Oryctolagus cuniculus: one gene and its partners. The protein of the gene in region 3 purifies or fractionates together with the protein of the main gene of each other region. This does not show direct contact. Links are inferred from orthologs where the notes say so. Each region holds a gene or a part of one and is shown on either strand. Other genes may lie near its edges.

What was found. Proteins that work in one complex are often made in the same cells at the same time.
Region 1: the proteins of SYMPK (region 3) and CSTF2 purify together in Homo sapiens (affinity purification with mass spectrometry; 4 studies listed by BioGRID and IntAct, with this or other methods). This does not show direct contact. The link is inferred for Oryctolagus cuniculus from reciprocal best matches to the Homo sapiens genes SYMPK and CSTF2.
Region 2: the proteins of SYMPK (region 3) and CPSF2 purify together in Homo sapiens (co-immunoprecipitation; 8 studies listed by BioGRID and IntAct, with this or other methods). This does not show direct contact. The link is inferred for Oryctolagus cuniculus from reciprocal best matches to the Homo sapiens genes SYMPK and CPSF2.

Annotation. Positions count from the first base shown.
Region 1 is NC_091453.1:91,889,269-91,893,013, reverse strand, and holds the start of CSTF2 (cleavage stimulation factor subunit 2), read left to right. Parts: upstream 1-1,340; 5' UTR 1,341-1,454; coding exon 1,455-1,512; intron 1,513-2,533; coding exon 2,534-2,612; intron 2,613-3,226; coding exon 3,227-3,396; intron 3,397-3,745. UniProt on the Homo sapiens protein: One of the multiple factors required for polyadenylation and 3'-end cleavage of mammalian pre-mRNAs. This subunit is directly involved in the binding to pre-mRNAs.
Region 2 is NC_091451.1:37,371,145-37,374,889, forward strand, and holds the start of CPSF2 (cleavage and polyadenylation specificity factor subunit 2), read left to right. Parts: upstream 1-1,336; 5' UTR 1,337-1,476; intron 1,477-3,100; exon of another isoform or gene 3,101-3,122; intron 3,123-3,745. UniProt on the Homo sapiens protein: Component of the cleavage and polyadenylation specificity factor (CPSF) complex that play a key role in pre-mRNA 3'-end formation, recognizing the AAUAAA signal sequence and interacting with poly(A) polymerase and other factors to bring about cleavage and poly(A) addition.
Region 3 is NC_091449.1:11,192,968-11,196,612, forward strand, and holds part of SYMPK (symplekin), read left to right. Parts: intron 1-141; coding exon 142-292; intron 293-1,849; coding exon 1,850-2,054; intron 2,055-2,803; coding exon 2,804-2,954; intron 2,955-3,645. UniProt on the Homo sapiens protein: Scaffold protein that functions as a component of a multimolecular complex involved in histone mRNA 3'-end processing. Specific component of the tight junction (TJ) plaque, but might not be an exclusively junctional component. May have a house-keeping rule.

The DNA of each region.
Region 1 (3,745 bases), on a different chromosome or scaffold from region 3:
ATGGTCCAAGTCCTTGGACACCTGCAACCACGTGAGTGACCTGTGAGAAGCTCCTGGCTCCTCGCTTTGGATTGGCCCAGCTCCAGCCATTGCAGTCATTTGGGGAAAGGATCAGCAGATGGAAGATCTCTCTCTCTCTCTCTCTCTCTCTGTGACTCTGCCTTTCAAATAAATAAATAAATATTTTAAAAAGTAAAGCTATGCATGGATTTCAAAAAATTTGGGGCACCAAAATGAACTTATCTTTTAATTTCATTTTCCCAAGAACTGTTTGAAGTACCCTGGTATATTTGGCCATATGTGTACTTAGCAAAAGTTCACCATACTGGGAACAACAACTCATACCAAAACTCTTTGAAACCGGCATTACAGAGCTGTAAATCTTGTTTGGGACTATTCTATTTCACAAGGTGTTCTTTTGGTCACATAGTGATTCCATAAGGAAATTGAGTCATGGGAGTGAAAACTTTCTATCTTCCAAAATTTTATATATTTGCCAGAATTACTTCTTGAAATGACATGTTCAATGTGTAATGCAGCACTTATTCACCTTTTAAAATACTTCTCATTTTGCAAGCAAGCACACTTCTAATACATGTGCAGCAAACACGTCAAATTCTGTGGCTATTTTACTGCCTCTGTTTTTCGGGAGACAGCAAGTTCTCTCTGGATCGTGCTCTTCGCTCCTCGTTTTTTCCTCCTCTAGCTCTGTACTTTTCGGGTACCTTCCTCTGGGTTTCCTCCAACCCGGGCAGGGTCTGCCTTTCTGGGAGTTAGCATCTCGCCTTTGCAGCACACCGTATCCCAGGAACGCAGGCACCCAGAGTGTGTTATCACCGCTCCATGTTTTCTGTTGTTTGCAATACTCTGCCTGTCAATATCCCCTGCGACACCGCCCCTCCAACCTAGCACATGGACCCTAGGGTTACGTCTGTTCTTTCCATAAAATCGCCACTCCTTTTAGAGTAGACTTAGAGCGCCGCTCGTTCTCCCATTCTCTTGACTGGCGCGCCTTTCTTTCCCCCACCTCACTCCGTACACCCAGTTTTAGCAAAATATAATGGCCCGAAAGAGGGCGGCACTAAAATGAAGTTATTCGTTACCACGGTAACTGCCGCCGCCATCTTCGCGGTGGTCGACCAGTATTTCTGTCAGCCTTAAAGAAAATAAACCAAAAAGAATTTCGCAGACTAAAAACTTTTAGTTTAACCTCCCCTACACGAATCCTACTCCGGAAAGAGTTATTCTCAGGCTGCAGCCACCCCACAGCTTTAGTTCTCGCTTGGACGTGCCGAGCGACAGAAGCTGACGGAATGACGCTAGGGGGCGGAGCCCTGCGTCCGCCACGCCCAGGCGCTCTCTGCTCACGCGCCGTAGGGAAGCGTGGTCGGTGCTGGGCACGCGCGCTGTACGGAAGTGTGCTTAGGTGCACCGGAAGCCGCAGGAAGAGAGCGATGGCGGGTTTGACTGTTAGAGACCCTGCGGTGGATCGTTCTCTACGTTCTGTATTTGGTGAGAGGAATTTGATTGAGCCAAACGTCGGGGAGGGACGCTCCCCCGGCACCCCCACCCTTCTTGAATCGCCACTGGAGCTGTGGCGCTCTACCTATTCTGTGGGGCGGCCAACTGGTGGACTCGTGGGCAGAGATGCGCCCCTTTTCCTGAGGTTTCACAGGCTTTGCGCGGTATCATTGAGGAAGTTAGACTTACGTTCAGCTTTTATGCGTTTCTCCTTTTCGGAGCTTCAATTATTGTCTGAAAGAGAGGGCTCATGGCTACAGCCCGTTGCTGTCCCATAGTACTTCTCACCCCCGTCCCAGAATATAGATTATATGCTGAGTGTACAGATACCTGTGTCCACTTCCCCGTCCTCTAAAGAATTTTCATTCTTTGCTTCTTCCCTGTAACGTTTTAGTGCAACCAGCCACCTGTGGTCCTGAAATGGATTCTAAGTAAATGAATGAATAACAATTAAAATCGCCTCAGAGGAATTTTAAAGAGGACCAAAACTATTCTGAGTAATTTTCTTCGACTGGAATAAGTTGTTTAAAAAAAAAAAAAACACGTGTAATAATTTTTAAAGCACGTTTTGAAAGAGGCAATGACAAAACAGTTTTTAAACATCCTCTGTTAGAATCGTGGTCATTCTTCCTTAAGGGCGTTTATGTGTGAAAATACTTACATATGAAACTGTTTTTTAAATTGTATATAAATATTTTAGTAGCTATTGACGAGACTTGCAGAACTTCAGGTAAATACCAAAGCCTAAATAGTAACTTTCACCAACAGTTAAGGAAAAATCTAACACTGGGCAGATCTGTGAGCTTACATTCATCAGTATCTATACCTTTTGCATTTAGTCTCACTGGTTGATTCACTTGTTAAGAGGCCTGAAAAAGTGCAGTGGAATTGGGAGTTGGAGAACACTATTTTGAGACAGATGTTAAATAGTCAGTGACATAAGTAGACACTGTGCTTTTTCACTAAAGGTCTGCATACTCTGAATTTTAGTATTACCTGTTTTCTTCCCTAGTGGGAAACATTCCTTATGAAGCTACTGAAGAACAATTAAAGGACATCTTTTCTGAGGTTGGACCTGTTGTTAGTTTTAGGTGAGACTTCCTTTTACTTCTTATGAGAATTTCTTAAAAATCCCAGCAAATCTGACTTTTAGTAATAATAGTAGGGTTTTTTGTTTGTTTTTCAAACTGGTAACTTTCCACATGCATTTTATTTCTTAGCAACTTTATCAATATATAACTAACTATATAATTCACATTCATTCTTACCTAAAAGGTGCTTTTTTTTTTTCTTAAAAAATGTTTTAAGAGGGGGCCAACATTGTGGTGCAGTGGGTTAAGCCACTGCTTGCAACACTGGTATCCCATTTTGGAGTGCTGGTTTGAGTCCTGGCTGCTCTGCTTCCTGCTAATGTACCTGGGAATGCAGTAGAAGATGACCCCTGCCACCTGTGTGGGAGACCAGGATGGAGTTTCTGGCTTTTTCCTGGCCCAGATCTGACTATTAAGGCCATTTGGGGAGTGAACCAGTGGATAGAAAATCTCTTTCTTCCTGTCTGTCACTCTGCCTTTCAAATAAATAAATAAATAAAATTTTTAAAAATACTGTAATGAGAGTTACAAGGTTATTTAAAGTGAGCTGAATCAGAGCATGTCAATATTAGCAGAAATACTGCATGTTTCTGATACCTGCTTCTGCTCTCTAGATTGGTATATGATAGGGAAACAGGAAAGCCAAAGGGTTATGGCTTCTGTGAATACCAAGACCAAGAGACAGCACTTAGTGCCATGCGGAACCTGAATGGACGTGAATTCAGTGGGAGAGCACTTCGAGTGGACAATGCAGCCAGTGAAAAGAACAAAGAAGAGTTAAAGAGTGAGTATAAACCCAAATTGTATACAATAAGAGTTATGAATAATATAACAATACAAATATTCTGTTAATCATATGTTTTAGAATATTTTGAAATGGTTAGACATACAGTTTCTTAATCTACCAAGGTGCCTCAGTTAGGGAAGTATGTCTTTTGAGAAAAAAAGGTAAAATTGACTTTAGAAACCCTTTAGTTGCCAAGGAGTTTATTTTGAGTTAAAGAGGAGTTCAGGTTCACCAAGCTACTAGTAGTGCTAAGCGTGTCATAGTAATAGATCCAGGAATTCTGTTTTGAAATAAGCATCTTTTTCTATTTAAACCTTTTGTTTCTGAGATGACTTGTGAAGAGAAG
Region 2 (3,745 bases), on a different chromosome or scaffold from region 3:
AAACCATCTTGGGGTCCCAGCGCTGTGGCACACTAGGTTAATCCTCCGCCTGCGGCGCCAGCATCCCATATGGGCGCCGGTTCCCGTCCTGGCTGCCCCTCTTCCAGCCCAGCTCTCTGCTGTGGCCCGGGAGGGCAGTGGAGGATGGCCCAAGTGCTTGGGCCTCTGCACCCGTGTGGGAGACCAGGAGAAGCACCTGGCTCCTAATCAGCACAGCTCCGGCTGTAGTGGCCATTTGGGGGGTGAACCAGCAGATGGAAGACCTCTTTCTGTCTCTCCCTTGCACTGTCTTAACTCTACCTCTCAAATAAATACATAAAATCTTAAAAAAAAAAAAAAAAAAAAAAAAAACCACCTGGCATCGTTGTCTCTTGTTTTTTAAATCACTTCAAACTCTTGATGCACACATATATATACAAATATACATATACATACAAATATATATATATATATATATATATACACCCTGTGTTTTGCCCAGAAAGTTTCAATTTACCAATGCAAAGTGCTGAGTGCATGGAGGAACTGAGCTCCTGGGGCACGGAAGGACACGCACCTTAGCAACCGAGCACGAACGTGACACACCTAAGGCTTTAAGAAGCAGAAGGGAGCGAGGCAGGCGAGCAGACGGAGCGCTGAGCCTCGGCCGCCCGGGACACACAGGCCAAGCGGCCGTCACGCACTTCCGCGGGCCCCCGCATGCGGTCCCGCCGGTGTCCCCGCGTCCAGCAGCGGGGCGGCCACCGGGCCCCCGCTAAAGACATTTCCCAGTCACGACAGCCGCGGACGAAGCCTGTCGTCCCCTCAAAAGCCCTATCCCCTCTCCTTTTCCGTCACCTTGGCTCGGAGGCGCCGGGAAGGCCCAGGCCACCCGACCGCGAGCACGGACCACCGCCGAGGCTTTCCTAGAACCCGCCGCACCCGCTCCACCCGGCTCGGCGGAACCGCGCCCCCCGGGACCCCCGCACCCGCACCCGCACCCACCTGCGGCGCCGGCGCCCAGCACGACCCACCGCCAAGGGCAGCGACCCGCACAGCCAGCGGCGCCGGCGGAAGCTGCGACCTCGGGACGTGCCATTCGCCGCGCGCGGACGGAGGAGAGGGGTGGCGGCCGGCGACACATACCTCGCCTTCCTTTCTGGGCGTGATTCTTTGTTACTTTTCTAAAGCTTTCGGACACCAACCATAATTTCTGACGGAACTTCGGCCCGAGGTGACGTGATCTGTCGGCGTCGGCGCCACCGCCTTCCCACGGCTTCGACTCCCCCCCTCCCCGGCCCGGGTGGTATCACCCTGGATCTTCCCCCTCGGCTCCGCGCCTCCGGTTTCAAAATGGCGGCCGCCACTGCGGGGCTCTTGCTGGCCGGGCGTCGGGGTTGCAGCTGAGCGAACGTCTGCTTTTGTCCCTCTTGAGCCTGGATCCGACTAGGGGTTGGGCAGGGCCCTAGTGGACGCCGTTGGGGGAGGCCTGACGAGGCAAGTGAGGGCGGGAGAAAGGCATGAGTCTTTGGATGGGGGAGGAGGCGTCCTAAGCGCGCCGGGGCAACAGGGCTGCAGCTAGGACCCGGCTCCTCCGAGGACGAGCTCCCGCGGCTTCCGATGCGGCTGTCCGGTGGTTCCCGGCACAAGGACGGAGGAGCAGCAGCGCCTTGCCTACGGCTGTAGCGCTCCCGGGTCTTCCGCGCCGGCCTGTCGGGTCCGCCGCCGTCCCGCTCGGCTTCCCTCGGTCCTTGGGGCCTCTCGGCGCCGGAGGAGTTCGCCTGACGCCAGCTTTGGCTCCTGGGCCTCGGGGCTCGGGCGCGCGCCGTTCGCAGCCCCTCGGCTCAGGGCCTTCCCGCGGCGTTGGGCCGAAGGGCCACGAGGCCGCCGAGCCTAGGGCGCAGAGCAGGTGTGCTCGCAGACGGCGGTGGCGCGCGGCTCGCCCCGGGCGCCTGCACCTTCGCTGCCGCCTTTCCCGGGACCTCTTTCTCTCTGTTGACAAGGCCCTCAGAAAACGAGGCGTCCGAGGGGCTGTGGCCCCCGCACGTCTGGGCTCCTGTGACCAGGCGACCCTGAGCCAGCCCTCACTTGTGTTCGAGTCCTGTCCCCTGGGATGAAGCCGCCGCTCGCCCTGCACTGACCAGGAAGAGGCGTTGCACTCCATGGCTTACTGTCTCGTTTCTTTCTTTTCTTCTCTCTCTCTCTCTCTCTTTTTTTTTTTTTTTTTTTTTTAAGATTTATTATTTGAGAGAGAGGGAAAGACAGAGGTCTTCCATCCTCTGGTTCACCACCAAATGGCTTTAACAACCGGAGCTGGACCGATCTGAGGCCAGGAGCTTCTTCCGGGTCTCCCACGTGGGTGCAGAGGCCCAAGGACTTGGGCATCTTCCACTGCTTTCCCAGGCCATAGCAGAGAGCTGGATTGGAAGTGGAGCAGCCAGGACACAAACTGGTGCCCTGATGGGCTGCCCCCACTGCAGGAGGAGACTTTACCGTCTGTGCTGCAGCTTCGGCCCCATCTCCGTTTTCTCTTGGATCCTGCACACATCCATAGCCGCCACCAACCTGCCTGGTCCCTACTGAGAGCCCACATAACAGTGATAGAGACCCAGAGTCGCTGTCAGGTCCCCGCCCTGGGGGAGCTTCCAAGTGTGAGGGTTCATCCCTCTCTCAGGACACATTTGTATTTGCTTTGAGCACTGTGCCTGGCATTGGAAATACAAAGGTGATGCCTTTATGCATTCAACAATAGTCCCTTTGTCTCAAAGTAACAATAACCAAGCTCCATGAATTACTCATTGTTTGAACTTGGCCACAAAAGAGTAAAAGAAATTTGCTAAGCTCAGAAGGTCATTTCTGGATTTAGCTCAGGGATGCAGACTTGAGAATATTTGGCGTATTTAGGGAGTGTGTGTGTGCTGTGCCAGGTGGCTGGCAAAGCAAGAGGCAGGTTGAGATCAGCTTGTGCAGGGCCTTGATTTCCAACCAAGGAGTTTAGATTTTTTTCAGCAGTTAGCAGGAAGCCAGTGAGTGCCTCGCACCAGGAGTGGAAGTGAGGTTATTTGCTTTTTAGGATGGTCTCTGGCAGCTATGGAGGTTCAGCCTGGAACAGGAAAACGGGCGAGTAAGTTACAGTCTTCCAGGTAAGGCAATGAGGGCCTCTGTTGAGGTAGGACATTAAAGGATGTCGGACTAGGGTCAAGTGGGATTCAGCTGGTGACCGCCAGCTTCCGCAAGGAGGGACTCGGGGTTTCAGTGTGGGAGACTGACTGGTTGGTGATGCCAGCAAAACACAGCAAAACATGCCCAGGAAACTAGAGTGGGCCCACCCTGCCCCCGAGAAGAGGCAGGAGCCCAGTGGTTACTGCTCAAGCACCCATTGTGGAGGGTAGGCCTGCGCTACTACAGTAGCTGCCTGTAGCTGTTGGGCTTGAGATGTAGTTAGTTCTTGTTGATTTGTTTGAAAGAGTTACAGAGCTGTCTTCCACCTGCTGGTTCACTTCCTGGTTCACTTCCTGGATGACCGTACCAGCCAGGGTTGAACTGGGCTAGAGCCAGGGGTTTCTGAGAGTCTACATGGGTGCAGGGGCCCAAGCTCTTGGGTTGTTAGCAGGGAGCTAGATTGGAAGTGGAGCAGCTGTAAATCAAACCGGAGTCCATATAGGAGGCCAGTGTCACAGGTGGTGGCTTTACCCGCTGTGCCACAATGGCAACCCCAAGATGGTTCCAATGGAGATGTGCCATAAATGTAAAATACACACTAGAT
Region 3 (3,645 bases):
CACACCGAGAACAACTGTGTTGTTCCCGCTGACTGCCCCCAAAGCGGGGCTGCGCCGCAGTAGCCCTGGCTGTGGCCTGGTCGTGGGCTGGAGGCTGTTGAGCTCACAGTTAAGAGAGGCTCTTCTTCCGGGCACCCACAGGTCCTCATCAGCATGGTGTACCTGCCTGAGGCCATGCCCGCCTCCTTCCAAGCCATCTACACCCCCGTGGAGTCAGCCGGCACCGAAGCCCAGATCAAGCACCTGGCTCGGCTCATGGCCACACAGATGACGGCCGCAGGACTGGGGCCTGGTGAGTGGCACTTGACTTGACACTCCACTCGCTGCGAGAGCACCCCCTGCTGGTGGTGCGCGTGAAAGTCACGTGAAGGCCAGTGCGTGAGTGATGGTTTTCAGGCCCTGTGTTTAGGTCTGAGTTAAACCAGACGGCCTGCTCCACCTGCTCACCGTGGCGTTGGTCAGGTCACCCAGCGTCTCAGCCTCAGTGTCTTCCCCGCGCTGACAGCGCGACTGAGTCAGCGGAGCGCACAGCACCTCAGAGTTTCTAGAGTGAACCCCCCGGCCAAGGGAGGGGCCCCTCCTCGCTGCTTCCCAGACAGCACCCGGGGCACCCCCACAGATAACCACCCCCAGACAGCACTCGGGGCACCCCCACAGATAACCACCCCCAGACAGCACCCGGGGCACCCCCACAGATAACCGCCCCCAGACAGCACCCGGGGCACCCCCACAGATAACCGCCCCCAGACAGCACCCGGGGCACCCCCACAGATAACCGCCCCCAGACAGCACCCGGGGCACCCCCACAGATAACCGCCCCCAGACAGCACCCGGGGCACCCCCACAGAGAACCGCCCCCAGACAGCACCCGGGGCACCCCCACAGATAACCGCCCCCAGACAGCACCCGGGGCACCCCCACAGAGAACCGCCCCCAGACAGCACCCGGGGCACCCCCACAGAGAACCGCCCCCAGACAGCACCCGGGGCAACCCCACAGAGAAACGCCGTGCTCACTTCTGCCCCGAGCTCAGCTCTGCCTGTTCTTGAGCTTCGTAGAAGAGCAGTCTTCAGAAAGTTCATGGAAACAGCTATAAATGGATTTCAGACTTTTTTGTACCAAAATAAGTTTACCGTTTAACTTCATTTTCCATGAACTGTGGAAGTACCTTGTAAGTGGGATCACAGGAAATCAGGCTTCTTTACGCGTTGTTGGTTATTTTTAGTTGACATAATAATGACACGTCTGTAAGGTACAGTGTGATGATCTGCATGTGCTCAGCATGGAGTGATCAAGTCAGGGTGACCTGTGTTTCCAGCTCCTTGAGCATTGGGTGGGGAGTTTCCAAGCCCTCCCCTCCCCTCCCCTCCCCACCTCTCTCCTCTCCTCTCCTCTCCTCTGTCTTTAAAGGTTTATTTATTTATTTGAAAGAATTGCAGAGAGGGAGAGACAGATCTTCCACCCATTGGTTCACTCCTCAAATGGCTACAATGGCAGGGACTAGGCGAGGCCAAAACCAGGAGCTTGGACCTCCATCTGGGTCTCCCACGTGGGTGCAGGGGCCCAAGCACTTGGGCCATCTTCCGCTGCCTTCCCAGGGGCACCAGCAGGAAGCTGGATCGGAAGTGGAACAGCTGGGACTTGAACTGGTGCCCATATGGGATGCTAAGATGCAGGTGGCAGCTTAACACGCGCACCACAGTATGAGTCCCCAAAATCCCTTCTACTCGTGCTTTATAAAATGTGCAGTAACTTACAGACTAGGCTTGGACTAGAGCTGGGCACACAGGAGGGCCTTGGATGGGGTGGGCAGGCCTGGCGCGCGAGCACCGTGTGCCGCCTCCCTCAGGCGTGGAGCAGACCAAGCAGTGCAAGGAGGAGCCCAAGGAGGAGAAGGTGGTGAAGCCAGAGAGCGTCCTGATCAAGCGGCGCCTGTCTGCTCAGGGCCAAGCCATCTCGGTGGTGGGGTCCCTGAGCGCCATGTCCCCCCTGGAGGAGGAGGTGCCCCAGGCCAAGAGGAGGCCGGAGCCCATCATCCCTGTGACGCAGCCTCGGTGAGTCCTTGCAGCTGGGCCCGGCCCATAGTGTGCAAGTGCGTGTGCACGGTGGGCGATGTTCAGACAGGACAAGGCCTCAGCCAGGTCAGCCAGGCTCTCCAGTTCCAGTCGATGCCTTAGCCATCGAGCCTGTGGTTTCCCCTCTTGTGTGTCTGAAATTGGGAGGATAATAGTGTCTTCCTCCCGGGGGCCAGACAGCCAAAGTGGGTAGCTCTTGGGGTTCACAGTGATGGGGACCGGAGAGCACTCTGCGTGCTTGCTGGCCTGTGTGAGTGTGAGTGTAGAGTGTGGTGAGTGTGAGTGTGACTGTGGTGAGTGTGAGTGGTGAGTGTGGTGAGTGTGACTGATGAGTGTGAGTGCTAAGTGTGGTGAGAGTGAGTGTGAGTGGTGAGTGTGGTGAGTGTGACTGGTGAGTGTGAGCGCTGAGTGTGGTGAGTGTGAGCGCTGAGTGTGGTGAGTGGTGAGTGAGTGTGGTGAGTGTGAGTGTGAGCGCTGAGTGTGCCGAGAGCTGTCCCCGCTCGCTCACAGCACCCTCACGGGTGCATCACCACGTCCTGGTCCTCACTTCCTAACGAGCGCTCTGGCTGGCAGGCCTCAGGCTCGTTGGGTTCAGAGAGACAGAGTGGGGCCGAGAGGACAGGCGACTGTAGGCCGGCCATGTCCTCGAAGTGGGCAGTGGCCAGCCTGAAGCCAGCCCTGGGTGCAGAGACCGCTGCGACGCTGTCCCTGTCCCTGCTCTCCCATAGGCTGGCGGGCGCCGGCGGGCGTAAGAAAATCTTCCGTCTAAGCGACGTGCTGAAGCCCCTGACCGACGCCCAGGTTGAGGCCATGAAGCTGAGTGCTGTGAAGCGGATCCTGCGGGCCGAGAAGGCCGTGGCCTGCAGTGGGGCGGCCCAGGTGTGTGCCTGGTCCTCAGCCCCTCCCCAAGGCTTCCCTCTGGTCCGGCCAAGTGCTGTAGCGCCCAGCCCGCCATGCACAGCTGATTCCGCCTCCGTGAAGCCCACAGTGGCTGCAACTCCGCCCTGCCGTGCCGGGAGCCACAGGCACCCTCGTGTGCACCGGCGGGGAGCGCGCACTGGGAGGTCCTCGCGAGTGTTTGGGTTCAGACGTGCCTGCTCCTGAGGCCTGATCCTGCCGCTTGCTGACAGGGGGACCTCAGACAATGTCCGCCTTGCTCTTGGAAGTTAATGTTTGTTTGTTTGTTTTAAGGTTGATTGATTGATTGATTTGAAAGAGTTACAAAGAAAGAAAGATCTGTCCACTGGTTCACTCCCCAGGTGGCCACCATGGCCAGAGCTGGGCTAGTCAGGAGCCAGGAGTTTCTTTTTCTTTCTTTCTTTCTTTTTTTTTTTTTTATTTTGTTTATTTATTTATTTATTTATTTTATTTTTTGACAGGCAGAGTGGACAGTGAGAGAGAGAGACAGAGAGAAAGGTCTTCCTTTGCCGTTGGTTCACCCTCCAATGGCCGCCGCGGCTGGCGCACTGCGCTGATCCGAAGCCAGGTGCCAGGTGCTTCTCCTGGTCTCCCATGGGGTGCAGGGCCCAAGCACTTGGGCCATCCTCCACTGCACTCCCTGGCCACAGCA